Linked DNA regions of Ovis aries. The protein of the gene in region 1 binds, or shares a complex with, the protein of each later gene. Links are inferred from orthologs where the notes say so. Each region holds a gene or a part of one and is shown on either strand. Other genes may lie near its edges. The genes, in order: UBL4A and GET4.

The links.
Region 2: UBL4A (region 1) and GET4 share a complex: the UniProt entries of both Homo sapiens proteins name them as parts of the BAG6/BAT3 complex. The link is inferred for Ovis aries from reciprocal best matches to the Homo sapiens genes UBL4A and GET4.

The regions. Positions count from the first base shown.
Region 1 is NC_056080.1:79,946,305-79,961,778, reverse strand, and holds UBL4A (ubiquitin-like protein 4A), read right to left. Parts: upstream 6,679-15,474; 5' UTR 6,636-6,678; coding exon 6,588-6,635; intron 6,435-6,587; coding exon 6,329-6,434; intron 6,028-6,328; coding exon 5,813-6,027; intron 5,705-5,812; coding exon 5,598-5,704; coding exon of another isoform or gene 5,594-5,597; exon of another isoform or gene 5,164-5,593; coding exon 5,040-5,163; 3' UTR 5,037-5,039; exon of another isoform or gene 4,148-5,036; coding exon of another isoform or gene 4,036-4,147; 3' UTR 3,982-4,035; downstream 1-3,981. Other genes in the region: SLC10A3 (P3 protein), read right to left, coding at 7,550-9,007. UniProt on the Homo sapiens protein: As part of a cytosolic protein quality control complex, the BAG6/BAT3 complex, maintains misfolded and hydrophobic patches-containing proteins in a soluble state and participates in their proper delivery to the endoplasmic reticulum or alternatively can promote their sorting to the proteasome where they undergo degradation.
Region 2 is NC_056077.1:42,173,704-42,189,020, forward strand, and holds the start of GET4 (Golgi to ER traffic protein 4 homolog), read right to left. Parts: upstream 14,027-15,317; 5' UTR 13,969-14,026; coding exon 13,814-13,968; intron 10,320-13,813; coding exon 10,241-10,319; intron 10,033-10,240; coding exon 9,951-10,032; intron 9,618-9,950; coding exon 9,468-9,617; intron 7,944-9,467; coding exon 7,805-7,943; intron 6,629-7,804; coding exon 6,489-6,628; intron 4,968-6,488; coding exon 4,933-4,967; intron 4,738-4,932; coding exon 4,623-4,737; intron 425-4,622; coding exon 339-424; 3' UTR 1-338. UniProt on the Homo sapiens protein: As part of a cytosolic protein quality control complex, the BAG6/BAT3 complex, maintains misfolded and hydrophobic patches-containing proteins in a soluble state and participates in their proper delivery to the endoplasmic reticulum or alternatively can promote their sorting to the proteasome where they undergo degradation.

The DNA.
Region 1 (15,474 bases):
TAAAAAAAAAAAAAACAACCAAACAATGAAAATCTCTAATGAAATAAAAAGAAAAATGAAATGATTTCCATTGTTATGTGGGGGGAAGAAAAAAGCTGAGTGCAAACGACCTGTGCACACACACTCATAGATACACATGCTTATTGGGAAAAAAACTAAAGGGGATGGAGAACCCTGAAACTAGTGAAAATTCTCACTGATAGGGGGTTGAGATGGGTATAGGATTTCTTGTAATATATTAATATCTTTTTGTGTAGTTTTGACTTTAAACCATAAAATATTTTATATATTCAAAAATACATTTGAAAGAGGGGAAAAAATGCTAAAACAGAATAAAAACAAAAGCAAGTCAGCCTAACTGCATATCCAGTTAGTAACAACCACACAGAGAAAATGAGTCACGAAACTTTCAAACTCACTCTCTGACGGTGCTCCCTTTATGGGATATATTCTAAGGACAGAAAGAATCGGCTTTATTCTCAGTATGTGTGTTGTTAGTAATGATAGTCCTGAGGTGATTCTGAAGCTACTTTGAGTATACTGCAAGGTAGACTGTATCCAGTAGAAGAGATGAGTAAACATATCCATATACGGTTGTTTTTTGCTGTTGTTAGGAACATCAGTGTGGAATGAGGGAAGCTGAGATAGAACTGTGCTACCAGACTGGAATTAGGGATCACATTATGAATTCTTAAAAAAAAAATAGATTGCCTAGTTTTGTCCAGTGAGAGTCTAGAAGCAATGTCACTCCAGTAGCAAAGAATGTTCCCTGTACCCAGAACTTGGTTCTCAACACCAGTCTCCACTAAAAGGGACCAGAGCTCGAGAAATGGAAGATTCTAGGTGTGGGTCAGGGAAAAATACAAGAGGAGCCTGGAGCACCTTGTAGTGTCAGAAAGGAAGGATATGCTTGAAAAGGAAAAGAATGGGACATGTGAAAGAGACATGGGAGCCAACTGGAAAGAACCAAAGCTAGAACAATTTGAGCACCCCAAAGGTTATTAAACCTTTTGAAGAGGAGGCACCAGGGAACGTAATATATAGGCAGACATTATGTATATATTTCAATCTGGAGGGGATGCACACATGGGTATATTCACTTTGAAATTCTGTTGAGCTGTATATCGATGATTTATGCCCATTACTGTATGCATGCTACAATGCAGTAAAAACTGTCCCCAAAATGACACTTAGACAACTTAGATTCTAAGTTGTTGAATAAAAAAAAGCGTCCACCATGATAACTAAGAAAAGACAGCAGGGAAAAGGGAAAGCTCTTTGTAGAGAAATGCCAACTAATAATTGCAGAAAGCAAGACAACCCAAGAAAATCCACCATTTTGCAGCCACCTGTGCAATTCATCCAGTTGAACTGATCCAAATGGGGAGCATCCTTGGGTGGTAAGACCATGAGATGCAGGTTGTTGGGGAAAAGAGAATCCCTGGGTCTCAAGGTATCACCCAGATGACTTGTGTGTTAGGAACGGAGAAGGCAGCTTTACCAGGGAGAGACTGAGTGATCAAACTGAGCCTCCTTCACATTGCGTGGGGAGGAACACAGCCTGCCCTGGGTGGCCACTCTCCTCAGAAGGCCTAAGCTGAATCTAACCAGCAAGGAAGGAGGCGAATCCAGATCCTGGGACTTGCTATGAGGCCAGTGCCCTAGACTCTTCCAAAAGCATTGCTGTTTGATGGCCCATGGACAAGGGAGAGTTAGGAGAGGCAAAGGTGGCCTCCCATTTCCTGTCATCAAAAGCCTGACCCAGTGGTGTTGCCTTTCACCTTGGGCACATGGGTGCCAGGCAGGAAGGAACTGTGTCTTCCAGTCCCTGTGCCACCGACATCACAAGCACTAAAGGGGTGACAGGAGGTGTCTGCAGGGAAGCTGGACACGGCTTCAGAGTCACAACCCAGAGCCATGGCCCGAAGCTCAGAGATGGGGCTGGGGTAAGTTGCAGACATGGACACAAAGCACAGAAATGGCAATGAAGGCAGACAGGTTCCCCAGGGAGTGAGAGATCCGGAGAAGAGATCTGGGGATGGAGCCTCAGTGTCCCCCATAAGTAGGAGATGGGTGTGTTGGGGGAGAGCCAGCACAGGTGAAAAGTAAAAGTGAAAGTTGCTCAGTCGTGTCTGACTCTTTGCGACCCCATGGACCAGAATACTGGAGTGGGTAGCTGGTCCCTTCTCCAGGGGATCTTCCAAACCCAGGGATCAAACCCAGGTCACCCTCATTGCAGGCTGATTCTTTCCCAGCTGAGCCACCAGGGAAGCCCAAGAATACTGGAGTGTGTAGCCCATCCATTCTCCAGGGGATCTTCCTGATCTAAGAACTGAACCGGGGTCTCCTGCATTGCAGGCGGATCCTTTACCAATTGAGCTATCAGGGAAGCCCAGAGCTAGGGGAAGTGGAAGGAAAAGTTGGAGAGGGCAGGCAGAAGAGGTGGAGAGGGCAGGCAGAAGAGGTGGCCTGGGGCAGGTCCCCAGTAGCTCCGGGAGGCTGCTCTGGCTGGGCCTTGGAGGGGGACAGGGTGACAGGGGTGAGCATCTCTCCCGCAGGCTTTCCAAGGCCCAGGGCACAGAGGCCGCCATGGCCCTTGCATCTCCCGCTGGCAGGGCCTGACCCGTCCTCAGCAGCACTTGTCAGATCTATTGGACCTGGTAAGGCTGGCTTTTGTCCAGGCTTGCGTGGAAAGCAAGGCACCAGCAAATTGTGCATGCAGCTGATCTTTGCCTGGGCGTTTTCCAGCTCAGCAAGCCCCACCCCAAAGGAAACGCTGCTTTCCTCTGAGCCTACCCCTCCGCCAGTGTGCCCATGGCAAGTGGCACCACAGGCATCTTATTCCAGGTGCCGGACTGTTGCTGTCTGGGGCCACTTCAGCTGGGCGTTTCACTCGCCCTGCCATCTCCTAGTGGGGCTGTTTCAAGGCTCCTCCACGAGGAGAGAGTGGTCTCAGGCCAGGGGATGGGAGTGGTAATGGGGGGGTCAGTGCCCACCTCTGGGGCAGACACTTGGCTCAAGGGGCACAGTGATGGCCTTAAACATTCCAGCCCCTATGGAAGGATACTGCAGCATTTGGAGCCCGCAGTGTACATGGGGCCACCCCCTCACCCAGAAACTAAGGACAAAGGCAGGGCACAGCCCGTGGCCATTCTATCCTCTAGCGATGGCACAAGGCCTAGACCAGAGCCTCCGTGGCCCCTTCCCACCTAGGCCTCCCATCTCTCATCCCAGCACCTCTTCCCTGTCTCCCCACCCCCACCCCCCATAGCTACACACTCCTGCCCAGACAAGCTTCTGGAACCAGGGGTCTCCAGTCACTGGCAAGACTTTCCCCCTCTCCACCATGCAGCAACTTCTTGCCCTAATATCACCAATGACCTTCTTGTTAGCTTGACAGGAGGCTGCCCTCTTTTGCTTCTTGGCAGCACTATACACTCTGTACCCTGGCTGGAGGGGCCTTCCTGGCCTCTGACTCCAAGCTCTCCCTGTGGCCTTGCGTCTGCAGAGGTGCCTTGGCCTCTGCAGTGTCTCCAGTTGGTGAAGTCTCCCCCAGGTCCAGTGCTCTCCCCTTTCTTCGGTCATGCTCTCTGGGAAGTAATTTCATGCATCCTCGCAGTGTCTGGGACATTGTGTCCACAGGCCCTCCGGAATGTCGTGGAAAACTGCACAGGGCCGCGGAATCAGCCTGTCGGGCCTGTCAGCAAGGCACCTACTATACACCTGGGAGACACCACTCCTGTCTCCATGGGCAGCCTGAGCTCCCCGATGACTTTCTGCACCCAGCAGATGGCTCCTAGCTACCACAGGGTCATCACCTCCCAGTCGGGAGGCACACAAGACTCACCAGCTGTCTCTTGTGTCTGTCAACAAGACCCGTCTGCACGCGTCAGCTCTCCCCGAGGACCCGGCCTTCCTGAGAGTTGCCCTCTCCCTTCCACAGCCCACCCAAGCCCCTGATAAAATGATGGAGGCACCCGGTTCTAAGCATCCAAAAGGGACAGCGTTTATTTGTTGGGGCAGCTGAGGAGGAAGCTACGCTAGAGGACGGGAAGGTGCTCCGTGCTGGCTGTGACCGAGGGGTTCGGTGGAAGCTGCAGGCAGCCATCTTCTGATCCTGAGGTAGAGGCCTGGGATGAAGCAGACACTGCAGAGTGCAGAGGGGAGGTAGGAAGAAACTGGGTATTTGGGGAAATCATTTATCTGCTGCCAATACCCCTGGACTTCTCAGTTTCGCAAACCAATACCTTCTCTTTATTGCTTAAACCTATGTCCTGTAATGGTTAAATCAACGATGGGGAAACCAAAAGCAGTTCAACTAATAGAGTTCCTTTCAGGTCAAAGTCTCACATGCACCTCTAGTGTGACTGAGAAGGTCAATATAAAATTTCCTGACTACAAAGAAATGAGAGCGTAGGGAAGTCTATCACATGAACCTTGTGGCAGTGCATGCCCAGCTCCTGGGTGGAGCCATGGACTTCCACCTGCTCTTCAAAGCCTTTGGCCCTCGAGCCACTGTCTGTCCTCCCCACCTGGGGACCCAGCACTTACCCTATGAGGCTCAGGCCGGAGAGTGGCCCAGGTGCCCTCCTCTGAGGAGCAGGTGCCTAGACGATCTCTACGACCCACCCCCCAGCTTCTGCCCCCACCCAGGTTCCCTCTCAGACAGTGAGTGGTGTGCACAGTGGGAGGCCCTGTCCACATGTGGCAGAGGATGGGCAAAGGGTACAGGGGCCTGCTCGAGTCACCTCGAGACCATCACCTGTCATCTCTAAAGGTCATGGACCGCTTGTGTCTGGGAGGAGAAAAGAAGGGGGTGCCCAGAGAAAATCTGTGACACTAAGGGCCAGGACATTCCGTCTCTGGGCCACGCTTGGCCATCACTCAGAATTTGGCCTCAGTTTGTATCTGGGACACAGGAGTAGGATGCCTACAGACTCCTGACCCCAGGCTTTGGAGCTAAAGAAAACTAAGAGAGTCTCAAGAACAGCCCTCACTGAGCAGAGTTGAAGGCTGGGGACCAACGTGGCACCTACGTGTCACTCCCCAGAGTCGGGTGACATCCTAGACTCCCCAGCCCGCCTTCCGTTTGAGTGCATACTGGTTGCAGTCACTAAGGGGGCCCAAGGCTGGCCATCACCTGACCTCTTGCCAATGCCGGACCTGTCAAGGATGAGGTGACAGAACTGGGCATCAGGGGCTAGCTGCTTCCCCTTCCAGGCCTGGAAAAGGTATTGCTCGAGGGTTTCTCCTCAGTGGGCTAAACCTGGAATGTCCATGGCCACCCCTCAGAACCCGTCTGAACGACCCTTTTCTCCTTCTCACCCTGAAGTACTTCTGGAAGCTGGCTGGACTCAGAATCTGGCTCCTTGCCTTCTCCGCTAGGAGCCTCGGCTGTCTCACCTTTTGTGCAACATGTGGGAGCCAACCTGGGTCAAGAGCTTTGAGTGGGGCCTGGCACCTAACATGAGCCAGATACAGGTACCCGAGTACCCGCCAGGCAGTATTATGAGCCAAGTTGCAATACAAGAAGACATTTAATGCTACATGCAGCTTGTGGCCTGGCCAGGCTCCTCCCCACACTCCGAGAATCCTACTTGGAGAACCCCTTCTCCATAGCTTCAGTCGCTTCGGGGTGCAGGAAGCGGCCAGCCAAACGTTCAATGTCATCCAGCGTCAGGCGGCTCAGGGACCGCTCATAATCCTGAAGAGAGAAAGCCAGAAGGATTCAGGGGTGTGGCTTGGGGCGGGGGGGCCCGCTGGGACAGAGGCAGGTGGGCAGGATGCAGAGGTCCTGGGCCACGCTTCTCACCCTCTGGAGTTGATCCAGGACTCTGCTGGCATCGGCGGCGCTGAAGTGCTGGGCCAGGATTCTGGAAATGAGCGGCCAGGCGGCGGGCGGTGGGGCTGGGGCCTCGGCCGTTTTCCGCGCAGTGCTTTCTTCCAGCAACACCTTCTCCAGAGGTTTGACCACTAGGTTGAGCTTGGAATTCGGCCCGATGCTGTAATCGGAGAGTCTTTTCCCATCTGTCCGAAAGAGAGAGGGAGAGGGAGAGAGGGAGAGAGGGAGAGAGGGAGAGAGGGAGAGAGGGAGAGAGGGAGAGAGGGAGAGAGGGAGAGAGGGAGAGAGGGAGAGAGGGAGAGAGGGAGAGAGGGTCGCACTGACCCTCGGAGAGCCTAGGCGAAGCGCAGCGGTGAACTCCCGGGATGGGGGTGGGGGTCACCTAGCCAGAGCCCCCTCCACCTACACTGCTGCCCGGGCCTGGGCTGGACGCCCCGTCCCCTGGCTTCCCGCGGGTCTCCCCCAGCGTCCCCTCTTCCTGGTTACCTGCCAGGGCCTTGCCCTTGAACAGCAGCCGCTGTTGGCGGACGGGGATGTTCAGCTTTTCGGAGACCAGATGTTTCAGCGTGGACACCAGCTCGTCCTCCGACACCTGTCCCGGCCGAGAAAGGTGGGCGGGGGGTGAAGCCGCGGCCCGCGCGGAGGGTGGCTCTCCCGAGGCGGCTAGCCCGCCGGGTCCGTCCCTTCCCGCGGCTCGATCCCGCACCCGCGGGGCTGACCGCGCAACCCAGCCCGGCGATGCTACCTGAAGGCTGCACTCGCGGCCCTGGAGTGCCTTCACCGTCAGCTGCATGGCGGCCGCCGAGGCGTCCACTCGGGCCGGCGCGCACCCCAACGGTCCGCCGCCGCGCGCCGCCGCCCCGGGCGCGCGCCGGAACCGCCCGCCGCCGCCGGAAGCATCGCGAGGGGCGAGCCGGGCATCGCGGCCCCGCCCCGCCGGCCCCTCCCCCCACAACCTGGACTGTCCTCCGCGGAGCCCGGGGCGACGGAGCCCAGAAGCCCGCGGAGAGTGGAAAAGGGTGGCGGGACCAGTCGGGCTCGCTCGAAGGAGTTGGGGAGCTGGGCCCGGGGAGACGGCGGGCCGGGAGTTCGCGCGCCACCGCCCGTGGGCAGAGCAGGTCAACGCTGATGCCCATCCCATCCCCTGCCTCTCAGGAGCCTGCAGAAGACCCGGCCCCGCCGAGCTCGTTTCACCACCCGCCGGCCTCTTTTTTACTTCACCTGTGGAAAAGCAACTGAGCTTGGGATCTGGTGGGGGAGTCAGGCCTCTGCCCTTCCCACTGCTTCTTCTAGAACAGATACACAGCTCTCAGAGGTGATGCAGGGGCGAGGAAGGCTAAATCTGGCCAGAGGTCACTGTGTCGCCAAGCCAGCCCTCCATCCTGGCCCACACCTACCTGGCCACACCACGCCCTTCCTTCCCCGACCCGCAGGCCTCAGAGGGCAAAGACAGCATGATACCCAAGCTTGCTTCTGTTTTATTGAAATATATTTTCTGGGCAGTGCCCGCTTACAGAACTCAGCATGGCCTCTTTGGCACTGAAAGCTGGAGAATAAAAAACGAGTAAAAAAAATAAGCCTGGATTTTTTTTTTTTTCTGAGTGCATAGTGCATGAGAACTAAAGGCCTTTGGTACACAAGAATGGTGGGGACAGTTGATGGAGGTTGGGGGCTGGGGGTGCCTGGTGAAAGCTTGACCCGGGGGCCTCAGGGAACGGTGCACACGCTGCTATAGATAAAGTGGCCAATTACTAAGGCCAGCATCTCCGAGGTGCCACTAAGTGCCACAAGGAAAGGGGCCTGGGAGGCATAGTCAGCCTGGAGGCGGCGGAGGGACAGCTGCAGCATGGCCAAGGCCAGAAGGCTGTTCTGCACCCCAACCTCGATGCTGACAGTCCGCCGCTGGGCCACTGGCAGATTCAGGCATGTGGCCAGGCCGTAGCCCACCAGGAGGCCGACCAGGGGCACTGTGAAGCCCACCAACACGATGGGCAGCCTGACGCCTGCCAGGATGAAGACCCCCATGCGGTAGGCCAGGAAGAGGCCACCCAGGAGCAGCACAAAGCTGAAGGGCTTGATGACATGCAGCAGCAGCTGCGAGAACTTGGGGAGCTTGGACTTGATTACCACGCCTGCTGCAATGGGGATGGCAATGAACAGCAGGGTCCCCAGGATCTTGGAAACAGGCACATGGAGTGTTTCATGGATGCTGAGCAGGCGACTGTAGATGGCTGAGGACAGCGGCAGGAAGCCGGTGGCAGCCACCGTTGAGATGAAAGTCATAGAGATGGCCAGAGTGACGTCCCCTCCGAGGAGGAGGCTGAAGAGGTAGCTCCCCCCGCCGCCGGGCGACGAGCAAGTGATGATGAGGCCCAGAGCCAGGGCCTTGGGCAGCATGAAGACCTTAGCCATCAGAAAAGCATAGAAGGGCATGACTAGGAACTGGCCCAGAAGGCCCAGCAGCATGGGCTGGGGGTTCTGCAAGAGCCCCTTCAGTACCTCGAGCTCCACTTTGCACCCAAATGAACACTTATTGACAAAGATAAGAGGCAGGAGCAAGTAGAGGATTGGGTTCTCTGAGAAGTGGACCAGGTTAGTGCCGAGGGTGATGGGGGTGTCTTCAGCGGGTGAGACCTTGATGCAGAAATCTCTCCGCTCTTCGATCAGCCTGGGCGGGGCCTCGCGGGGGTCCGTGAGCTGGATGTGGAGTGGGGCTATCCCAGGCAGGCCCGAGCGGATGCTTACCACGAAGCTGCCACCGCCGCCCCAGGCTATAGCACTCACATTCTTAATGGTCAGCACCTCTGGGTCCAGGGAGGTGACCCTCAGCATGGGGCTGGGTCCTGTCCCGTTGCCCTGGCCTGGGTAATGGCTTGTGATCACAATGATGCCCTCGCTCTCTTCTGGGAACTCAAACTCCATCACAGAGCCATCTCCAATGCTCAGGTAGCGGCCCCTGGTCAGGGGCATGGGATGGCCCAGAGCCGGGCTGAGACTGGCACTGGCTGTTCCCCGGGCCCCCCACAGCAGGCTGACAAGCAGCAGGGTGGCCCTGAGCATGCTTTGGGGGCCCGTGCAACCAGTGCCCCCTTCTGGGCCAGGCCACTGCAGGGAGCAGCCTTCACCACTCCTAAACACCATGGCTCCTTCCCAACGGTGGGGCATGCAGGCCCTCTGTGGCTTAGGAGACCAGCCTTGCTGGTGCCGTTGGGTGGTCCTCAGAAGGGTCCATGGGCGAGGTCTGGTGCTGGGCTCCCTTTCTTGATGGTAGAGCTCTTCCTGAGAAGAGAAGGGACATGGCGGTGGCTGGTGAGGGCGAGCAGCTGTGAGCCCAGGAGCATGACCGAGAAGCCCACTGCTGGGAGACTCAGCCGGGTTCCTTGCTGCAAGCCTGGGGATGGCCCTTGAGTGCCATTCGGGTGTCCCTTCCCCAGTCACAACTACCTCAAGCTTCCCCAGAAGGGGAAGGGACAGGTAGAACTTTGCCTTCGGCCTGCTGATTCAGGCTGATTTTGACAGTTCAGAGATGGCCTGACACCAGGGGATCAGCCCCAATCTTGTCACCACTAGCCTGTGCCCCACTTGCTTTGAGGCACAGTTGCGGCAGTACCACAACCAGGAGGAAATCTCTGAAGGACAGCCCAGGGATGCCCAGGAAGCAGGCCTGATGAGAGCAGGCCAGCTCACGGCATCTGAGTGTCATCTGACCAGCAGAGAGCAGCTGGCAAAGTGGTGTGGGCAGCGGGTGACCCCCGGGCCAAAGGCCCCATGTGCTGATGTTCACCACTGCCATGTGAACGGTGCTGCTGTGTGTGGCCATCTGGCCTACCTACCTGCTGACAGGGGCAAGATGGAGGTTCTGGGAGGAAGCAGGTCCCCTCTCTCCCCAGGGAAGTTGCCAGAAGGGGCAGCAGAAAGGGATCAGACATGGCCACGTGTCCACTGAGAGGTTTCTCCCCTTTCTGTCAGAGCTTTCACTCCCCTGGCAGGCCCAGAATTGGAGCTCCTAGAGCCACTGTGCCATCTGAGAGGCTCTGATCAGAGTTCAGGGATTCCTCCCATGCCCACGTGGACCCCTACCAGAGCCTAGAACTACCCTTGAGGAGTGTTTCTAGAGGGGTGGGCTGCCTCAAGGGGAAAGAAGGACGTTTGCCTCTTTCCACTTCTCAATTTGGGCAGCCCACACCCTATTGTCCTGCAGGAACTGGGGCAACCAAGATGAGGATACAGTAATTCTTCATCCTTACTGTTGACTAACTCATGCCTGGCATTGTCCGAGTATTGGAAGAGGCCCCTGCATCTCTAGATCCTATCGGGGATAGTCTCATTTGAGACTGGGGAGCAGTGGAAGTAGGTGGTGGAGGGCTGGTTCAGCACAAGGCTCATCCCTGGGAAAGTCATCCTCTACCACCCTGGGATGCCACAGCCTCTCCTGGCTTGGCATTTGGGTTACTTACCCTGGAGGCCTTGATCCAGCCTTGGGTCCCACCGCTGAAGAGGGAGGCAGGAAAACCAGAGGGAGCAGAAGTACAGTGGAGGGGACTCACAGGGAAGAAACAAAGGCACCTGGGACTGAAGCCACCGGTCTGGTGTGAACCAGTTCAGAAGGCAGAGGAGGTGAATGGCCATGCACCCCGTCGTTCCAGTACTGCTGGTGGCTTTGAGTCACTGTATGGGGGATCCGGCCCAGATCCCACCATTTCTGCTTGAGGTGCCAGGAGAGTTTGGGCAGATACGCCCCAAAACGAGGGAGGGTACCCCGGGTCAGCAGGTTTTCCCCTCACTGGCCAAGTGTTCGGTGTCGGTGCAGTTGGCAGTGCTGACCCGGGGCTCCTCCCTACCTGGGAGTCCGGAAGTTGTCGGACAGGGCGGATCAGAGCTCGGGCAGAAATTAGGGAGGGAGAGGGGGAGGAGCGCCCTGCAGCCGGCAGGCCGGAGATTCGCCCGGGCGGCCCCGGGATCCCTCACGCCACTCCCGGTCCCCGCGGCTGCACGAACGCCCGGCGGCGACCCTTCTCCGTGGCGCCCGGCCGCCACAGCAAGCGAGGGAGGAAACTGGCCGGAGCCAGAAGTCGCCTTCCGACCGCCCTTCTGGCCTGAGGCTCTCACCTGCCTCGGCGGCCCGGAAACGGCGCCGGAGCCAGCGCCTGCAGGGCCGGCGGACGCCCGCGAGCGCTGCCAGCCGGGGCTCCGCCCGGAGCCCGACGAAGCACCGCCTCCGCCTCCGCCCCACGCTCCCGCCCCTCCTACCCCACGGCGGTCCCCTCACCTCTCACCGTCGGGGCGGGCCTAGACCGGATGTGACGTAACACGGGAGCGACGAGTCTGCGTGCGTGCCCGCCGGTCTGGCCGCCTTCCGGGTCGCTGTGGTTTGGCGCTGGGCGCTGTCTCGTGTGGCTAGCGAGACGCGTATCCCAGTCTTCTGTGGTCGCTGCCAGGGCGACCCGTACCGGTAGGCACCCCACTCCTTCCCAACCACGCTGCGACCTCTGGGGGCAGTGGGACATATGCTTAGCCCTTAGCCAAGCTAGGACGCCCGGGAGCTGCTGCTTAGTGGCGGGACCCAGGAATCAGGGTTTCTGTCACGTGCCTACTCTGGGCGCTAGCCCTGTGGCCAGAGGGCCGACTCTGAAGGACCCAGACTCTGGGACCCAGTCTCGGCCATGTTCCACCTTCCTACGTTCAAGCAATGACCGAGCGCCTGTTTCCACCCTGTGAAAGATCAGTGGATTTTTGAATGTTTCAAAACTATTTGGGGCCACCAGCAAGGTCCTAAGGTTTCACGGAGAAGGAATGCAAACACATGGCATAAGGAAGGGCAAAAAGGTGGTGAGGGTGTAGAACATGGATATGAGAAGAAAGTGAACAAGTGTAGAATCAAAGGAGATTTGTATGTTCCCAAAGGTTGCTGGGCAACCGCAGTCAGGCAGCGGGACAATAGCTACCCACTGCTCTGGAAGAACCTCTTGTCAGGGCTGTGATGGAGGCCAGTGGTTCCCAAAGTTCCAGGTTCTTGCCCCAAGAAGGTTCCTAAGACACATCGTAGAGAATGTCCAAAAAGACCTGTAGCATATCTATTTTTATTTTCCCAACAAATGATAACTGTAATCATCTAAATAAAAACCTATTAATTTTAATTTAGCCTTATTTATTGAGAACTGTATTTGTGTGTTATAAAGTTCAGATTAGTACATTCATGTGATGTGTAAGCAGATAGACACACATGGTGGGGTGCACACTCAAGAGGGTTTATGTCAGTGATCAAGAAACATTCAGAGCTGTAGCTCTAGGCTGTTCTTTAGTCTCAGTTAAGACATAAGCCTTTTGTGTGTGTGTTGACTTAGTATCCCAGAAACTCTGTACTGTCCCTCTCAAATGGGGTTGAGAGGTCCTGATGGAAGCAGGGTGGCACAGGTGAGAGGGCACATGCTAGGCTGAAGACTGCAATTTTGCAAAGGAGCAGTGGTGCTGTCCTTGTCTGAGGATGGGGTAAAAGTGGCCAGAGAGAGAAGGGGGATGGATCAGCTGAACATTGAGGATGGAAAACCTAAACAATCTGTTTACCCTTGAGGAACCCTTCATTTTTATATTCCCAGCTGGATGAGAATTGGTGTCAGGGGTCAAGGAGAACAAATGTAGTTAGAAGGCTGCTCCCCATTATCATTAGTCTATCCAGCCTTCCCTGAAAAGCCAGAGGGGGCTGGTGGGGTGGGGGGTGTCTGACCTGAAGGAATTTGGAGGGCTTCCCTCCAGGAAAAAGGGGTGGCTAAATTAAAATTATGGGGTCACAAATAGTTGGACACGACTTAGTGACTGAACAACAAAAAAAACAAGAATGTTTGTAGTTAGTTTTGAGGATTAATAATTTACCCCAGAAGAGAAGGAAGGTCTCTATGAGTCAGTCAAGGATATCTAGTTCCAAAGGAGAAGTCATCTGGACCAAGAAAACAGATGGAACAAATGATAGTTACAGCTAAAAGAACATCAGGGCACTTCAGATGGGAGACCCACCGCCATCCCACTAACAGGGCACAGTGATGACGCTGAGAAGTGGACTTACCTCCTGCTTTCCCAGGCAGGGGCCTCCAGGAAGACTGTGATAAATTAGCAGGCACGGAAGGCATATTCTATACAAGCGTGAATATGGGATGCATTTGGTATTTACCGGGAAATGTAGTCACAACTGGCGTTTTTACAAGCCCAGCTACAGGTTGTGGTGCAAGTTTTCTTTAGTGGGCCATCTCTCTTCCACTCTTGGTACACAGGTTTGCATGTAGATGACCCCAGTGCTGGCCTCTGGGGGGGTGCATGACACAGAGGTAGCCAATCAGAGCCACACAGATTGAGGCAAAGATAAACCCATAATCCAATCTGGACCAATGAGAGGTAGTTCCCTAGGGACTGGGAAGATGGGAACTCTTTCTTGCTGGGGTTGCTCCCCCTGCCTGGGAAGTCAGCACATTTGAAAAAGACACGAATACAAAGAAAGGGGGGAGCTAACATACGAGAGCCCTGAGGACATGACTGGAGCTGGACTCACCCGCAGGTGTTGGGGGTCTGTTATAGGAAAATTCAGCCTCCTTCTGCTATCGTGGCTTTATTTTTGCATGTGCCAGTTGGGTTGGGACCCTGGCTCTTGTAACTGTAACTGAGGATGTCTTAACTCCTGAGGGTAGGCCTGGGGGACAAAACCCTGGTGGAGGAGGACCACTGGGTGTAGAAAGATGGTGCTCTACTTTGGAAGGTCTGGCGGGCTGCACACCACCCATTGTCAGCGTCCTGGCCTGTGTTGGGCCATGTGGGGGATAAAGCTGGCCTGCCTGCTGCTTCCATCTGTGTGAATCCAGTGTAAGCGATGAAGGTCTGGGGCAGGTCAGCTGGCATAGCAGTTGATAAGAGGCACCTCCCAGCCTTGCAGTTCGTCCCCTGACTAAGGCGCATTGCATTTGGGGCAAGTCACTAACTTTGTGGAGCCCTATTTAGCTGGCTTCTAACCGCCCAGCCCCAGGGAAGCTTTCCTAGGTATACCCGGGACCATTTTTCTTCTCTAAATGGGGGTCACAGCAGCACTTGCTCACTGGGGTTGCTGTGACGACTGAGCAGGTAATACATGCAGATGAATCACTGGCCACATGTTGATCCTTGTGGCAGCCCCAATGGGTACATCCAGATCCATCAGACTATTCTCTCTACTTTAGAGGATGTTGGAAATGTCCATAATAGAAGGTTAAAAAAAGATGAAGAACATAGATGATACTATAATGGTAAGTACTCAGTCGTTGCATCTTCCCTCATAGCTGACTTGGTAAAGAATCTGCCTGCAATGCAGGAGACCTGGGTTCGATTTCCTGGGTCGGAAAGATTCGCTGGAGAAGGAAATGGCAACCTACTCCAGTATCCTTGCCTGAAGAATCCCATGGACAGAGAAGCCTAGCAGGCTACAGTCCATGGGGTCGGAAGAGTCAGACATGACTTAGTGACTCAACCGTCACTTGTCGTTATGAACACTTGTCAAACACAGTGCACAACACCAAGAGGGAACCCCAATGTCCACCGTGGGTTTTGGGTGGTGATGATGCTTCAGTGGAGGCTGGGTATGAGGGAACTCTGGACTTTCTGCTCAACTTTGCTGGGAACCTAAAACTCTAAAAAACAAAGTTGATGTAAAAATGAAAACACCTCAAGTTCTTGGCACGGGGTCAGGCTGGTCTTCAGCTCGTGTGATCACCATCTCCCAGGCAAGCAACAGGCTGCCCTCACATCTGCAACTCCCTGACCCTTCATGGCTGTGACCACAGCCCCACAGCCACAGCCTCTCCTCCTGGGCCATCCCGGGACTCTCTCTCTTCTGCGCCTCCTTAAGTACCTTCATTTTCTGATAATGCACTCACACTCTGGCAGCACTTAACCCCTAGAGGGGGACTCAAACGTCCACTGCCCCCCGCCACGGTACCCTGAATGTGACCTGGCTGGTGCCCAATTGATTCCTCTACCTGGGAAGTCCAAACTGACTTCCTTCCTTTTCCTGACACCAGGCCATTTCTGCGCCGCTTTGTGTACTTTTCCAGCAAAACTCCTTATCATTTCTTGCTGGTTCTCACCCAATGCAGGGAAATAGAGCTGTGATCTCTGAGAAGTGCCAAATAGCCCCCCTACCTTGATCTCTCATGCCCTGATTTCAAAGGGATCTAAAGCTGAGCACTACGGGGAGATGCACCAGCTCTTGAGGGAGCGGGGGTGGGAGGGGGAAGCCTCCTGGGTTGATTTGAATCCCCACTTCTGTCCCTACGGGCCTGTGTCCAAGGGATTCAGCCAGTTTCCGGCAGCCAGAATCAGCTTTCCGGGCAAGGCTACAGGGATGTCCACTTGGCAGAGGGGCCTTTGGACGACATGTGCCCTGGAGACACAGGCCACTACGAAGGGTGTGGAGGAGAGTTGGTTGAGCCTCGGGGACGTGTCCCTCCCCCAGGACACCAACACCCCTGTCTCCCCCCGCTGAACACACTTCATTCTATTGGGGGCCACCAGTTTATTAAGAGGTCATGGAGAAGGCAGGCCCTCTGACCAACCACAGGGGTGGCCACCTGCCTCTCCAGAGACTGCCATCAGGCTGCAACTTCAGCACACAGCTG
Region 2 (15,317 bases), on another chromosome or scaffold:
AGGCACAGGCCTGCTCGTCCCGGGCCGCTCACCTGTGTAAACCCGAGCCGTCAGGTCACGGCCTCCATCACCGGCCAGTGGTAACGCTGCCCCACGAAGCTGGGGGTCCCGCAGTCTCCTGACGAGAGCTGTTCTGACGGCCAGGCGCTGGCTGCCCAGCCGTCCCTGGGGCACGGTGGCCAGGTCCCCCGCCCCGCCGAGCCCTCCCCAAGCAAACCAGACACGAGGGCCGGGAGGAGGCGCCGCAGGGCCTGCGCTTTATTGGGGTCATCAAGGTACACGGCCCGGCCCGGGCCCCCACGCGCCCCGGCCCCGCCGCGTCTGTGGCTCCGCGGGCATCAGTCGAGCTCGATGGGGCTGCTGTCGTCCTGGCTGTCCTCGCCCTCTTGCTCCGAGGAGCCCATGAGGCTGCTCAGGAGGTTCCCTGGAAGGGGCGCGGCACTGTCAGCCCCAGTCCGGTCCCACCCCGCGGCCCCACCCTGCGCCCTCCTCCTGCCCCACGCCCTCCTTCCGCCCCGGGGGGCCTGCGGGGGCCCGGCACGGCCACCAGCACAGGCCTGGGGCACCGGGGACCGAGCAGCGGGTTCACTCACTCGCAGGTTACCTCTCCAGTGCCCCAGGAATAAAGGAGATGTGTCGGTTCTAAAGCAACTGTGGCCGCCTGTGGGCCTCGTTGGGCCACTTTACCTAATTTTTATCCAAAGAACCACTCCTCCGTCGATACAAAGAGCAAAGTTTATAAAGTGCCCGAGCCCAAACCACACAAGGGAGCAAGGAAGAAAGGGTGTGTGGTGCCCCGAGGGTGAGCCTGCCCCAGGGCGGCACTCTGGGACTGGTTCTGCCGGAAAAGCAGGGCTGCTGCTGAGGCCCGAGGGGCGGGAGGACTGGAGGCGGTGAGAGCCCAGAAAAGGGCAGCAGCCCCCACCCCGCCGCTGACGCCACACCACTCCGCCTACAGGTCAAGTCCGGCTTGTACCTAAGCGGAAACAGCTGCTCAGATGATTCAGGAGACCTTTCCCTGTGGCAGCGCCGATCGACAACGCTCACCCCAGCCTCCCTGCAGATCCCCATGGGGCAGGCTCGCCCTGCGATGGCCTATCGGGCAGGGGACGAGCCGAGGGCCTTGCTCTCCCGGGCCGGGGGCCCTGAGGCCCACGGCAGCTCCACAGCAAAGGACAGGGGCTGGGGGTTCATGGAGAAGGGGCTGTCTGCCTGTGTGCGAAGCTCCCCCCAAGGAAGCTGAGAAGACCGGCTGCCTGGCCTGCATGTCCCCCGGGGACAGTGGCGGGCCCGGCACATGTGGACTCTGTAAGGCGCTTCATCTGCTCAAGAGGAAGCCTAGAGCGCTAGCGATGCCAAAACCCACGTCTGAGTGCAGGACTCAGCTGGCCCCTGCCCTGCGGGAGGGCAGGGCAGCCAGGACTCGGGAGACAGAGGCAGCACAGACAGCGGGGCAGGGAGAGGCCTGGCCCGGAGAGGCAGCGTCCGGGCCCGCACCCGCCAGTGCCCAAGACACACACTCCCAACACGCTCTAGGGTCAGGGGACGGATCTGGAGTCAGGCTCCAGCAAAGAAAATCCCAGAACCTCATAGCTTCCCTGGTGAAACTGCTGAGCTAGGACCACCTGCCCGTCAAGTGCCAGAGCCAGAACAGACACTGCAGGGAAAGAAAGCTACAAACCAACATCCCTCATGAACACTGACGCAAACGCCTCAGCAGGACACTCGCAGACCCAGAGCGGCAGCTGGGGAAAGGCTCAGCGCCACGGCCAGGCGGGCTCTGCTCCTGGAGTGGAGGGAGGCTCCACATGTGGAGACCAGCCAGTGACACAGCCTGACAGGTGAAGGGAAACCAATGGTCATCAATGGCTACAGACAAAGCGCTTGACAAAGCCAAGACGCTCATGAACACACTCAGAAAGGAAACCATCTCACGCCAGGATGTGATGAAAGCCAGACGTGGACCACAGCAGCCACCACAGCGGTGACAGGCTTGGAGCTCCTGCCCTGAAACCAAAGGGTCGCTGCCCCACTCCTGCTCAACACGGCCACTGCGCGGCCCACTCACACGCGGGCTTGTTTCCTATGCTCACACTGCAGCTGGCTGAGCCCATGAACAGCCGGCCAACTCTAAGTTACACACCAGTTTTCGGCTGCTCAGGGAATCAACACCCCAACCTCTCCACGTGTTCAAGGGTCAACTGAACTTGAGGTTCTAGCCAGAGCAATTAGGCAAGAAAATAAAAGGAATTACAAATTGAAAAGAAGTAAAATTATCTGTCTGCAAGTGGTATGATTTTACATGTAAAAATTTCCAAAGAGTATAAACAGAAACAATTCTATTTACAATAGCATCAAAAAGAATAAAACAGTTAACTAGCTGAACCAAGAAGGTGAAAGATTTCACGACAGAAAAAGTATAAAGCATTTCTGAAAGATACGTAGGTGAAGACACATCCCATATTCCTAGACAAAAAGACTTAATATTGTTCAAATGTCAATACTACCTAAAGCTGTCAACAGACTGAATGAAATCTCAAATCCCCGAAACATTTTTTGTGGAAATAAAAAAACCCATCCTAAATTTCACATGGACTCTCAAGGGACTCAAACAGCCAAAACAATCTTGAACAAAACTAAGGTCTTGGACTTTTTCATCTGAAAACTTACTCTAAAGCTACAGGCATCGAGGCTGGGCTTCCCAGGCGGCTAGTGGTGAAGAACCCGCCTGCCAACGCAGGAGACGCAGGTTCGACCCCTGGGTCGGAAGATCCCCTGGAGGAGGAAACGGCGACCCGCTCCGGTGTGCCTGCCTGCAGAATCCCGCGGAGGAGCCTGGCGGGCAAGGAACAGCCCACTGGGGCGCAGAGACAGACGCGCCCTAGAAACCACAGAGACCAGGGCGGCCGAGCGGAAGACACGCGCCAGCCAGCGGGAGAGCGAGCGCAGAAAGGGTCCCTCACATCTGCGGCAAAAGGCTTTGGGCAAGCGGGATGCGCCCACTCGGTGGGGAAAGGGCAGTCCTCCAACACGCGGTGCTGGGGAAACTGGAGACCCGCACACCCAGGAACCAGGCCGACGGCCGCGCGCGCAAGCACCACGTCAAAGGTCCCCTCAGACCGGACCAAGGACCGCATGGAGGCCTCAGCCAGCAAAACTCTTAAACCACAGGGCAACCGCTTCGCGACGCTGGGCTTGGAAATGACTCCAAAGGCACCAGCAACGAAGAGCAGCAGAAAACAGGGTGGAAATTTAACGTTCGTGTCAAAAGACGCTCCAGGCTCGCGCGACGGGCGGCAGAGGCCAGCGCGGCGCCGTAAAGCGTCACCCTCCAGCGCGGCGCCGTAAAGCGTCACCCTCCAGCGCGGCGCCGTAAAGCGTCACCCTCCAGCGCGGCGCCGTAAAGCGTCACCCTCCAATTAAGAATCTCAGACAGACTCCAGGGAGTAAAACGGTGCCGAGGAAGGGGAGGCGAGAACAGGCGGACAGAGGTCTTCAGGGCAGCACCACAGTAACGGCGTGTGCACGCTACCGGGCGCCTGTCCGAACTCACAGACACCAGAGTGACGCTGGCGTCCTCAGCCCCGGGTGGTGAGGCCGTCCGAGCAGGGGCGTCCTGACAGGTGGACCCGCTGCAGGCGGGGAGGCTGCGCCGGCGGCGGAGGGGCACTGGTGGGAAACCTCCCTACCTTCCTCTTGGTCTTGCTTGGACGTAAGACTGCTTAAAAAAAAGCCAACCCACAGAATGGGGGCAGATAGTCGCAGCTCATGCGTCTGGTAAGGACTTGGTAGCCAGTACAGATTCAGAGCTAGGGAAACGACATGAGCCAGCGGCCGACGAGCACACGGAAGAGGGGTGCTCGGTCCCTGAGCAAACACGCGGCAGCCCCGGCAGCGCGGGTCCGGCGCCCCCGCGCCCCGACGCCGCCGCCAGCAGCCGGCAGCAAGTGCTGGCGGCAGGCGGCCGTGCAGGCCCCGGACCCTCCGCCCCGCCGGCGGCCGTGCAGAGCGGAGCAGCCGCCGTGGGCGGAGGGCGTGTGCTCAGCAATCGCACAGGCCCAGCCAGAAGCACCGAAAGCAAGACCTCACGGAGACGGCGGGCACAGCCACGCTCACAGCGGGCCAAGGGGGAGAACCCACGCGCCTGCTGATGACGGGCAGGTCAACAAGACGCGGTCCACGCGCGCGACGGGACACACGCCGCCTCAGAGAGGAAGGGAGTCACGGCACCGGCCGCAGCCAGCACCGGACAGGCACCGACTCCACCAGGTGAGGCCCCGGGGGGCGCCAGGCTCGCAGGGACCGAGAGGAGGGCTGGGGCTCGGCCAGGACCAGTGCCCACTGCAGCCTCACGGCCCCACGGCACGGCTGAGGTGGGCAGCGGCATCTAACGTGTGTTTTACCACAAAGCACAGCCGGCTTTGACTCTGCGGTCAACAGACAGGAGCCCCGGGGAGAGCATTCACCGGGGGCAACAGGCCCTACCGCTCTGCTCGGGAGGCGGAGGGCCGGGGCTCCCGGGGGGCGGGGAGATGGGCCAGCACCCCCCCTGCCAACGTCGGGCCCCGGACGCACTCGGCTCTGAGCCGCACCCACGGACCCCCACCCGTGAGCCCCCTCACCTAGCAAGCCTCCGTAGGATGACGTCTGCTTGGGCGGCACACCGAAGAAGAGCTGTCCTATCCTGTCGAGGTACTGTGGGGGGCGGGCACTGAGCCGGGCCGCGCCCGGAAGCGTCTCCCCCAGTCCCCCCGCTTCCCTCCAGCTTCTCCCACCGCCCCCCAGGGTCTCCCCAGCGTCTCCCCCAGCCTCCCTCCAGCTTCTCCCACCGCCCCCCAGCGTCTCCCCATTCCCTCTTCTCCCCACCCCCCACGCCCATGCAGCTTCTCCCACAGCCCTCCCCGCCTCACCTCGCCATCCCCCAGCTGGTACTCCCCACAGCACCGTGAACACCGTGAGCTTCCCCCAGCAGCAGCACACCCAGGACCACCATCCTCCCCACACGCCTCCACACAGCCTCCACGCCACACACAGCCTCCACACACTCACGCTCCCCCACAGCCCCCACACTCGCCTCCACACACACCTCCACACACACACCCCCCACCCCCAGCTTCTCACACGCCCCACACGCGCCTCCCACACACACACCTCCACACCACACACCTCCACACCCCCACGCACACACTCACCACACACACAGCCTCTCACGCCCCACACACTCACACGCCACACACACACACCTCCACACACACACGACACAGTCCACACACACACACACCACTGACACACACAGACGCAGCCACACACTCACAGCACACACGGCCGACGCCCACACACACGCCACACACACGCCCACACACGCTCACACACAGCCTCCACACACTCACACGCCTCCACACACTCACACGCCTCCACACACACACAGCCTCCACACACACACACGCCTCCACACACACGCCTCCACACACACACAGCCTCCACACACTCACACGCCTCCACACACACGCCTCCACACACGCCTCCACACACACGCCTCCACACACACGCCTCCACACACACGCCTCCACACACACGCCTCCACACACACACGCCTCCACACACTCACACGCCTCCACACACTCACGCCTCCACACACTCACACGCCTCCACACACACAGCCTCCACACACACGCCTCCACACACACACGCTCCACACACACACACACACTCACACACACACACGCTCCACACACACAGCCTCCACACACACACACAGCCTCCACACACACACAGCCTCCACACACACACGCCTCCACACACTCACACGCCTCCACACACACACGCCTCCACACACATGCTTCCACACATTCACACACTCACACGGCTGCACACACACGCCTCCACACACACACAGCCTCCACACACATACACGCCTCCACACTCACACACAGCCTCCACACACACACACAGCCTCCACACACACACACACAGCCTCCACACACACTCACACGCCTCCACACACACGCCTCCACACACACACACCTCCACACACACGCCTCCACAGACACACACAGCCTCCACACACACACAGCCTCCACACTCACACGCCTCCACACACACACGCCTCCACACATTCACACGGCTGCACACACTCACGCCTCCACACACTCACACGCCTCCACAGACGCCTCCACACACACACACACCTCCACACACACACACGCCTCCACACTCACACACCTCCACACACACACGCCTCCACACACACACAGCCTCCACACTCACACGCCTCCACACACTCACACGCCTCCACACACACGCCTCCACACACACGCCTCCACACACACACGCCTCCACACACTCACACGCCTCCACACACACACACGCCTCCACACACACACACGCCTCCACACAGACGCCTCCACACACACACACGCCTCCACACACATGCCTCTGCACACCTCCAGTGCCTTCACACAAGCACCGCCCCTACGCACACACTCACCCGTCCACGGCCAGCAGCAGAAACCAGATGAAGTTGAGCAGCGGCTGCACGAAAGGAGGCCCGCTCTCGATGGACGGGTGTTTCTGTGTGTACGTCGTGAACACCACCGAGGCGCTGCTTTTGTTTTTTAAACAGAGAAACCTGGAAATAAGAAACGTCCCAATCAGCGGCTGCACACATCCTCAGGAGGAGGAGATGGGGGCCCACAGCCCTGCTCCGCCCGCCTAAGGTGCCTGCCAGGCCCGGCGCAGGGAGCTGGGGTTGACAGCGTGGGGACTAACTCCAGAGGGCGCCCGGCCAAGGTCAGCAGAGGGGAGCAGCAGCTCCCTGAGCCCGAGTGCCTGCCTGCCCTGCCGGCGAGCACTTGGGCTGGATGCTGCCCAGCGCTGGCCTCCTCCCTGTGGAGGACGTGTCTGTGGCCAGATTTCAGCGCAGCGTGGGCCCACAACACAGCCAGATGGGCAGGGAAGGGCAGAGGCCGCAGGGGACATCAGCACCACCCGCCAAGCTGGGGTCAGGGCGCTCCGGATGGTGGACTGGTTTTGTTCCCGGAGTCCAGATTCGGCAACAAGTGGTGCTGGTGGGGTTCCGAAGCTCCCTGTCCCCCAGCTCACGAGACACGGCCTGGCCCGAGGCCTGGCCGCCGACCCAAGTCCTCTCTGGGAAGGTGGACCTCATTCACAGCAGCGGTGTATCCGCTGGGGGGAGAGGCCGGGCCCCAGTCACCTCGCGTGAGCTCCCCACCATGTGGGCCTGACGCGGTGCTCCCGCCTCCAGCGACTCTGCTGTACCACAACGTCCTTAGAATAAATTGTCCAAACAACTCAGAAGAGAAGACTCAGCTGGGACAGAAGAGCGGGGACACAGAGCTGGGTGGGAAGCTGCGGGCGGCCCCCCATCACCGTGTCTGGACCAAGAGACGTCGGGAAGACAAGCCGCCTCTGAACAAGACCCGTGTCATACGGACACTTCACATCCCAGCGTGGCGCTGAAAATTCAGTGAATGCCTGTGTCCCACCAAAAGAGTAACTCCCTCCCAACCAGATGTGACGGATAAATAGGAAAACAAAATGCACGGCAACAAAAAAGTAACTTAAGGCGTAAAAAGTACTTCTGTCAACAGAAGCGTCCAAGTTGATTTGAGGGCGGGCAGGTCTGGAGCCCCTGAAGGTCAGCGGCAGCGTCATGCTTGGGGACGTGAGGCGTGTGTGGGATGCCAAGTGACTTCAGACCTGTGCTTGCGTGAGGTTCGGCCAGAGGCCAGCCTGGGGCCCCGGGACACCACACGCGAGGAGGGGGCAGCAGGCGGGTACCTACTGGAGGACGGCCTGGGCCACGAACATGTCCGCCTCGCTGCGGAAGCCGCGGGCCGTGGAGTACTCCACCAGCATGTTGGCGCAGCCCTCGCCGTCGCTCGAGTGCAGGAAGTGGTACCGCGACTCGCCGTAGTTCTGTTCTGCGGGCGGAGCGCGGGGGGTGGGCGTGAGCGCGACGTGAGCACAGGGCCCCGTGGCGTCCGCGCACGCCACCTGCTCGGTGGACCCAGCAGAGGCCAGACTGCCCCCACCATGGGGACAGCTGGGAGCAAGCCAGGAAGGCAGAACCTGAGGCCCCCGGGAGTGGAGCACGCAGGGTGGAGCCCAGGGGCCCTCTGCCCACGTCTGCCATCCTGACGAGGACCCAGGACTGGACGCGGGCTCTTTGGGGACCAGCCGTCCTCTGCTGCTCAGCTCTTCTGAGCCTCTGACTCCACACTGGCTACTGCCCTCTGGGTGGGTAACCCCAGCCCCAGCCTGCCCAGTTTCAGTAGAGGACTGGAGCTGTGAAGGGGCCCCCATCCCCCAACCCACCTTCCAGCCAACATCTCCCACCCAGAGCCACTCAGCTCCTACCCCAGTACCCCAGCCACTCAGTCCTACACTGGGATGCCTGGAGCTACTGTCCACCGTCACAGCTGGGGGTGCCAACGGTACCCAACCCCAACCCCAGACCACCCAGCAGCTACAGAGCTGGCAGGACACCCGGGATCGGTGGCACAGAGGCTGAGACCCAGCTACAGGGTAGGGACCCTAGGTCCTGCTCACCCGCCACACTGGGTCCCTCTCCTCCAGGGGAGTCTCCACTGCTTCGGGTTAAGCCTTCTCCACCTTCCAGCCGTTCCCCAGCACAGCCCAGCCCCAGGTCACAGCCAGCTCCTGGCCGCCTCCAGCACCGAGCTAGTTCCGGGGTCTCCTCTCCCTCCAACCCCAAGAGCTTTCACAGCCTCCAGGTGAGAGGAGAAACCTGGCAAGTCTCCAGCGTCCTCCAGCCCCGGGCAAGCAGCTGCACGAGACCTCAGGGGGCCAGGGCTCCTACAGCCCTTTCACAGGACATTGGCCCCGCGCACACACCCCTGGGGGGTGCCCATCACAGGGGGGACCTGCAAACACCCCTCAGCATAGCCTCCCACGTGCGCAGGGTCCCGCCAACCTCACCCACCATCTGTGCTTGAGACCCTTAAAATACTCAGATCTTCAACTTTAAATCTTTAATATACGTGTACCAGAGATACACAGCTCCCAACCTCAGCAAGGTCTCTGCGCAGGCGCCAGCCGCACACACCCGGCTCCGCAGACTCGGGTAGGCTGGGCACGCAGGCGGACAAGGCGGCGCAGAGCGGCCTTCGGGCCCAGCCAACCTGCGGACAGAGCCCGGCCCGTGCGGACAGAGCCCGGCCCGTGCGTCCAGAGCAAAGTGGCTTCTAGCCGAAGCCTTCTGAACCGCCACAGGCCGGGGCGGACAAGGCCGCCCATCGGTGCGGTGTGACGGCCCCTGCCCGTGTCCGCCATGTGTCCACCCGGCCTGAGGACTGCCGCAGCGCTGATGGGTCGGCGACGCCCTGCCCGCGGTTGCCCATTTAGAAGAGAGCGGTGGGTGCAGACGGGCCGGTGGGGGTGGCGGATGCAGAGCCCAGCGCCCGCGGCCACCCGAACACACCTACCTTTCCACAGGGTGAGGGCCAGCAGCTGGTGGAGCCGGGGGTGGCCCAGCTTCCCTGACCCACCGCTGGACCACTTGAGGGCTCGGGACACGAACGCCACTCGCTCCGGGGAGTTGGGGTCCATCAGGCTGAACAGCTTGGCCAGACTTTCTGCAAAACGACAGCACACAGGCCTGACCCGGAGGCACGCGCGCGGCTTCGGCTCTGAACCGGGCATCTAAAAGAAGCGAAACCACCACCCCCGGGGGCAGGCACCGTGGTGGGGCCCTGGGGCCACCCGACCACTCGCCGCCCGCCTTCACCAGGCGCCTCCCCAGCGGGGCCCGCGAGCGGCGCGGGCAGGCGGGAAACGGGCTGCGGGTGTCCACAGCCACCCCCCCAGGGTCCGTGCAGGCCTCAGTGTGTGAGCACGCGAACGCGTGCGTGCAGATGTGAGTACACGCGTGCGTGTGTGCGTGCACGGTGGGGCTCGGGCCGCCTCACCCAGCAGCTCGTCGGCCACCTCGACCTCTGCCTTCTCCAGAGACTCCAGGACAAGCATGGACAGGTCAGCGGCGCTGTTTTGCTGTAAAACGTTAGAGAGGCTGGTCAGTGGGAAGAGAGGCTCCTGCCAGTTTTCAGAAGGCGGGGAGGCTGGCCAGCAGCTCTGGCTGCCAGTTAAAAACCAGTGGCCGACCGCACCTAGGAAACAGTTCTGAGCACCGAGGCGGGACACGGGCACGCTAGGGTCGCCCTCCAGCCCTCTCCCTGGATGCTCTGCGCTGACGGCTCACCTGTCCGTGGCTGAAGAACAGCAGGGCTCCGGAGCACATGAGCTCGCGGGCCTCGGCGTGCTTGCTCTGGGCCATGTACCTGCGGGAGAGAGGGCAGGCCGTCAGGTTCCACCACACAGGCCCGCTAAGCTCGGCCACTCCCCACCCCCGTCTGGTGACCGCGTGTGGGCACCGTCTCCGACCACAGCAGCACCTTCCTGGTGCAGGGCAGGGGTCTCAGCAGAGGGACCAGGGAGGGGCTGAGGGCCACTTCCAGCTTCAGACACAGGTCTGACCGTGACAAAAGGCAGGGGAACCTGGCCAGGACCACGCATCGGGGCCGATGGGCTGCGAGGCCGTCCCCTCCCCTGAGTGCTTTCCACCGGGAAGGCATCTCGCTGGGGACAGGAGTTGGGAAAAGCTGGCTTCCCAACTGCAGGCGGACCTATGGGCAATGAGGCCCACACAGAATACAAAGGGTGCTTCCTCCACAACAAGCAAGACAGAGATCCAGGGTGGCAGGGTCAGGCCTGAGCTGAGCACAGGACACCAGGCCCACTGGCCACATGTTCCTCTCGGACAAACAGGCCCGAAACCCGCCTAGCCGGTCAGACCTGTGTTCCAGCCCAGACAAGCCGAGTGGGAGATGCGAGAGGTGCGCGGCCAGCAGGCGCGCAGGAGAGGCGACAGGGGAGCCCTGCTGCCCTCGGGCTCAGGCCGGGACCAACTACGGAAAAGGGCTTTTATGCACCCGGCTCGGGAGCAGCAGCCTCAGTCTCGGCGCACAGGGTGGGACCAGGAGGAGACACCCACAGCCCGGGCAGCACCCAGGGCACCTGCGGGCGTGGGCCGGGCTTCTGGAAAAGCCAGCCCTTGCAGGCCACGGCACAGATGCTCACAGCGGGCTCTGCTTCACGCACACGACAGGCTCCGGATCCTCCCCCGAAGCACAGCTAGAGACAAGCACCTAAAAAGCCAGGGAGAGACCGGAGGCCCGAGAGGCAGACAGGCCGGGTTCCTGGGGCAGCAGCCCCGGTTCCCAGTGACCACAGCCACACAGTCCTGGCAGCCCTGCCCACGGGAGAACCGCCAGCGGCTGGAAACCCCCCAGCAGCGACAGGTGCCCCGAAGCCTGACGCGCTTTCTGCACGCCGCAGATGGACATGTCTGAGCCCTTCCTGTCCCGGCAGAGAGAAGGCTGAAGAGAGTGCCCGTAACACCTGGGACGGAGCTCGGCCGCCCTCGTCCTTGGAACCAGCAGCTCCTGCCCCCCTCGCGCAGCACACACCCTGTAAATCCAAACCAGTTCCTCTCCCCCTCCTCAGGCTGCTGGGGGACACAGTGTAAGCGAATTAAAATAGCACAGATAGGTGAATTTATCCAACAGGTGACCGGATGAGACGATGCGGCCCCCGCAACCGCTGCCACTCAACAATAATTAACTAGTGACACGTGTTAAGGGTGGGCCTCCGAACGGTCACGCTAAGGAAACTTGAGAAGTCAGATAAAAAGAGGACATGCTATACAATGCTACTTACACAAAATCCCGGAAAATGCAAACCCACGTATCATAACAGAGATCAGTGGACGCCTGGGGGCCAGGGGTGAAAAGTCATCTTAAAGGCAGAAGAGAAAGCTCTGGGGCATGAGGAGTATTTTCAGCACTTTGGTGATAATTTCTTGCGTGAATACATATGTCAAAACCCATCAAATTGTACATTTATATAAATGCTTAAAAGCACTTATAAAAAGTCATTACAAGAGTGAGGCTGACTTCTTCGGAAGCTGCCAGCCACAAAGAGCTCTAAGCCAGGACTGCAACCGCAGGTCTGAGCACGGATGACGCCCTGCAGGCCGACTCAGCTGGGCCCTCTGGACGCCCACTAACGCCACCCTGCTTGGGTCCACAGCTGACCGTTCACTTCTCAGGAGTCCTGAACACGTGTAGGAGCCCCTCAAAGACCAAAGAGGAAGCCAAGACGTGGAGAAGAGGTTTAGCAAGTTGTCCTGGGTTACAGGTCACTGAGCAGAGGAGAAATGTGAATACAAGTCAAGGCAGGGCTGGTGGTCACCACAAAGCACACTTCGGGCACAGGGAGGCCACTTCAAAGCTAATCGACAATCGCGCTCCTGGCACAGCGGCGACTGCAGAGCTGGCTCACAACAAGGAACGCTGTGTTTATTTTTGGGACGATCCAGTTTTGCTGATTAATCACTGGGGCAAATATTTATACACAAATCCCTGAGAACAGCAAGCACCAGGCAAATCTCAAGCGCTACAGAGCTCCCATCCTACAGATCTCATTGGCTGGGCTCCGGGCAGAAGGCTCCATGTTACAGACTTTAAACCTGCTTACACCTTTGACTCATCCCCTGAAGGACAATTAACTCCCTGCTCCCTGGTCCTCTGGGCCACCGAGCCCAAATACGATCTGAGGCAGGCTCACTCGCACTGCGTCCCAACCAACCAACCACCAAAACAGAAAGCACTGCCAGAGTTCCCAAGACACTGATTCAACCCGCCGTTAAAAGAAAAATTTATATCCAGGCCTAAATGTTTTAAGGCAGACCTTACTGCCCATAAACATCACAGCAAAGTATTTGCCGCCGTGGGACAGTTTGGAAAAAAAAAACACAAACATTCCGCAGAACAGATTAAATCCTCTAAAATTATCTTTAAATGCTAACAAATAGCCCAAGTGTTTTCTGGCAAGAACCCTAAAGGCTGACAGCATTTATGTAATATACAGCAATGCCTGACGCGCAGAGAGACAGCTAGGAAATCACAGCAGCAGCGGCAGTGACCGCAGAAACGGTGTGGCGCGCCGCAGTCCCGAGCAGAACCGAGCGAGGCGGCGCCCGGGCAGCCCCTGAGGCCACCCCAACAGCGACATCGCGTTCCACCCAGTGCGGCCGAGCAGGCAGTAGTTCCCGAAGCTACCTGACCTCTCCTCTGCGCTCACGGCCCATCCTGTGAGGGACTCACATTCCAGAAGCTCAACTGCCGCACGTGGCCAGCGAGCCGCACACGCACCACAAAAACACCGGCTTCACGGAAACAGCCGGGTCAGTACCACGGTGAGCAAGGGCGACGCAGCAGGAGAAGCCTGTCTACAGCCTCGCGGCCGGGCGCCGAGGGAGAGCCGGGGGGCGCGCAGCGAGGCTTTCGGACTCAACGGCGCTCAGGGCGGGGGAGGGGGCGAGCGGCCGCGGCGGCTCCGGCACCCGGGCCGTCCGCACTCTCGGCCAGGGCTTCGGGCCCACCCGGGGTCCCGGCCGGGGCCGCGGGTCGGGGGCGGGGAGCTCCAGTCCCGGGCGGGGGGCTCCGGGTCGGGCGCCGGAGTGCGCGGGCCCGGGCGCCGGCGGGGGCCGCGGGGGCGGGCGAGGGGCCGCGGCGCCGCTCCCGGGCTGCAGCCCGCCCCCGGCCGCCTCCCCGCCGCCCGCTCCCACCGCCCAGGCGACGGGCAGCGGCGCGGGCCAATGGCGGCGCGGGGCGGCGCGGCGCGGCCAATGGGGCGCGGCCGGGGGCGGGGCGCCGGGCTCCGCGGCCGGGCGGGGAGCCCCGGCAGGCGGCGGCCGCGGCGCGGCGCCTACCTGAAGAAGAGGGTCCGGTACATCTGGTGCGCCTCGTAGTAGTCGCCCTTCTCGACGCTGGCCCGCAGCTTGCCCTCCACGCGCTGGACGCCGCCGCGGTTGCGGGCGCCGTTCCGGGCGCTCTCCTGCTCGGCCATCGCCGCCGCCGCCGCCATCGGGCCGGCGCTCCGCGCAGGGCTGACGCTGTCGCAGGCGCGGTCGGCAGCGCCTCTCGGCTTCCGTCCCGGCGGCCTCCGGGTGCCCTCTACGGTGGCCCGCGAGGGGCCGCGCGCGGCCGCGGAGGCGGGGCGCGGGCGCGCACGTGACCGCGGGGCGGGGCGGCGCCACAATGGCGGCGGCGGCGGCCCCGTGCCCGGGAGCGCGGGCAGGGCGCGCCCCGCCGCGGCTGCGGCCGCCGAGACACTGAGGCCGTCCGGGGAAGACCGTGCTCCCAGCCGTTCAGCGGGGCGCCGGCGGCTCGGGGTCCGGGCGCAGCGCTCGGCCCCGGCGCCCGACACCCGGCCCCGCCGCTGACTGCTCGCGGGGGGCCCGTGGGAAACGCGGAGACGCGTCTGCGGCGGGAGCGCGCACGGCGGGGGGGCGCGCGCACGGCCACCGCCAGGGGCACGCGCACGGCGGGGGCGGGGGCGCGCGCGCCGAGAGGCTCGCTGCCCGGCGACCCCGGCCCAGACCCGGCAGAGGCGACCCGGCCGGAAAGGGTCGGAGGAGGGGTCGCTCAACGCACTGTGTCCCCCTCATCGCCCGGGGCAGAGACGAAGCAGGTAGAGAAAAGAACATACTGTTTATTATCCATCTGAAACGTCACATGCGCTTTAAAAAGTTAAAACTCTTTATTTAAACATTTCGGCAGCGTCTTACCAATTTGGTGGCAGCAAAGAAGCTCTACCAAAGTATGTTGAAAAGCATTTACAAAAATACATTGCACAGAGTCCTGTCTCGCATCTTTAAAAATAAATATTCAAAATATTTCCACCCCATCTCCCAAATTTAGCTTTATATAGGAAATTTTGATTTATATATTTATCCTGTAATATATGAAACATATGTATACATTTTATTCAACTTAACTGCATAGGCATTAGTTTCAATTCTGACAAGAGTGAAAAAAAACCCTAGTGTATGTGGCTGTCGTATATTTGAGGACTGTTGTGCAATGCACATAAAACTCTTCAGAAAACCAGTCAGCACCATCATTTTGTCTTTTTCTGAAAATACATTTATGGTACACCAAAAAACTGTCTTAACCCAATAAAACTTAAATAATTCTTAAGGTAAAACATCTGTAACTTTAAGTGCCTTGCAGATACATTTATAAAGTCTGCTCAGTGAAAGTCTAAATATTAAATATTAATTATAACCAAAACAAAGAGAATGGCCGAGTCGTAATAAAAGGCAAATCCAACCAGAGCCAGCACAAAGTGCTGCTGTAAGAACAGTGTCACCAAATGTCCTGGTTTCATGAATTTGCCACGTGGGACAATCTCCTTTAATAACTGTAAGTGGA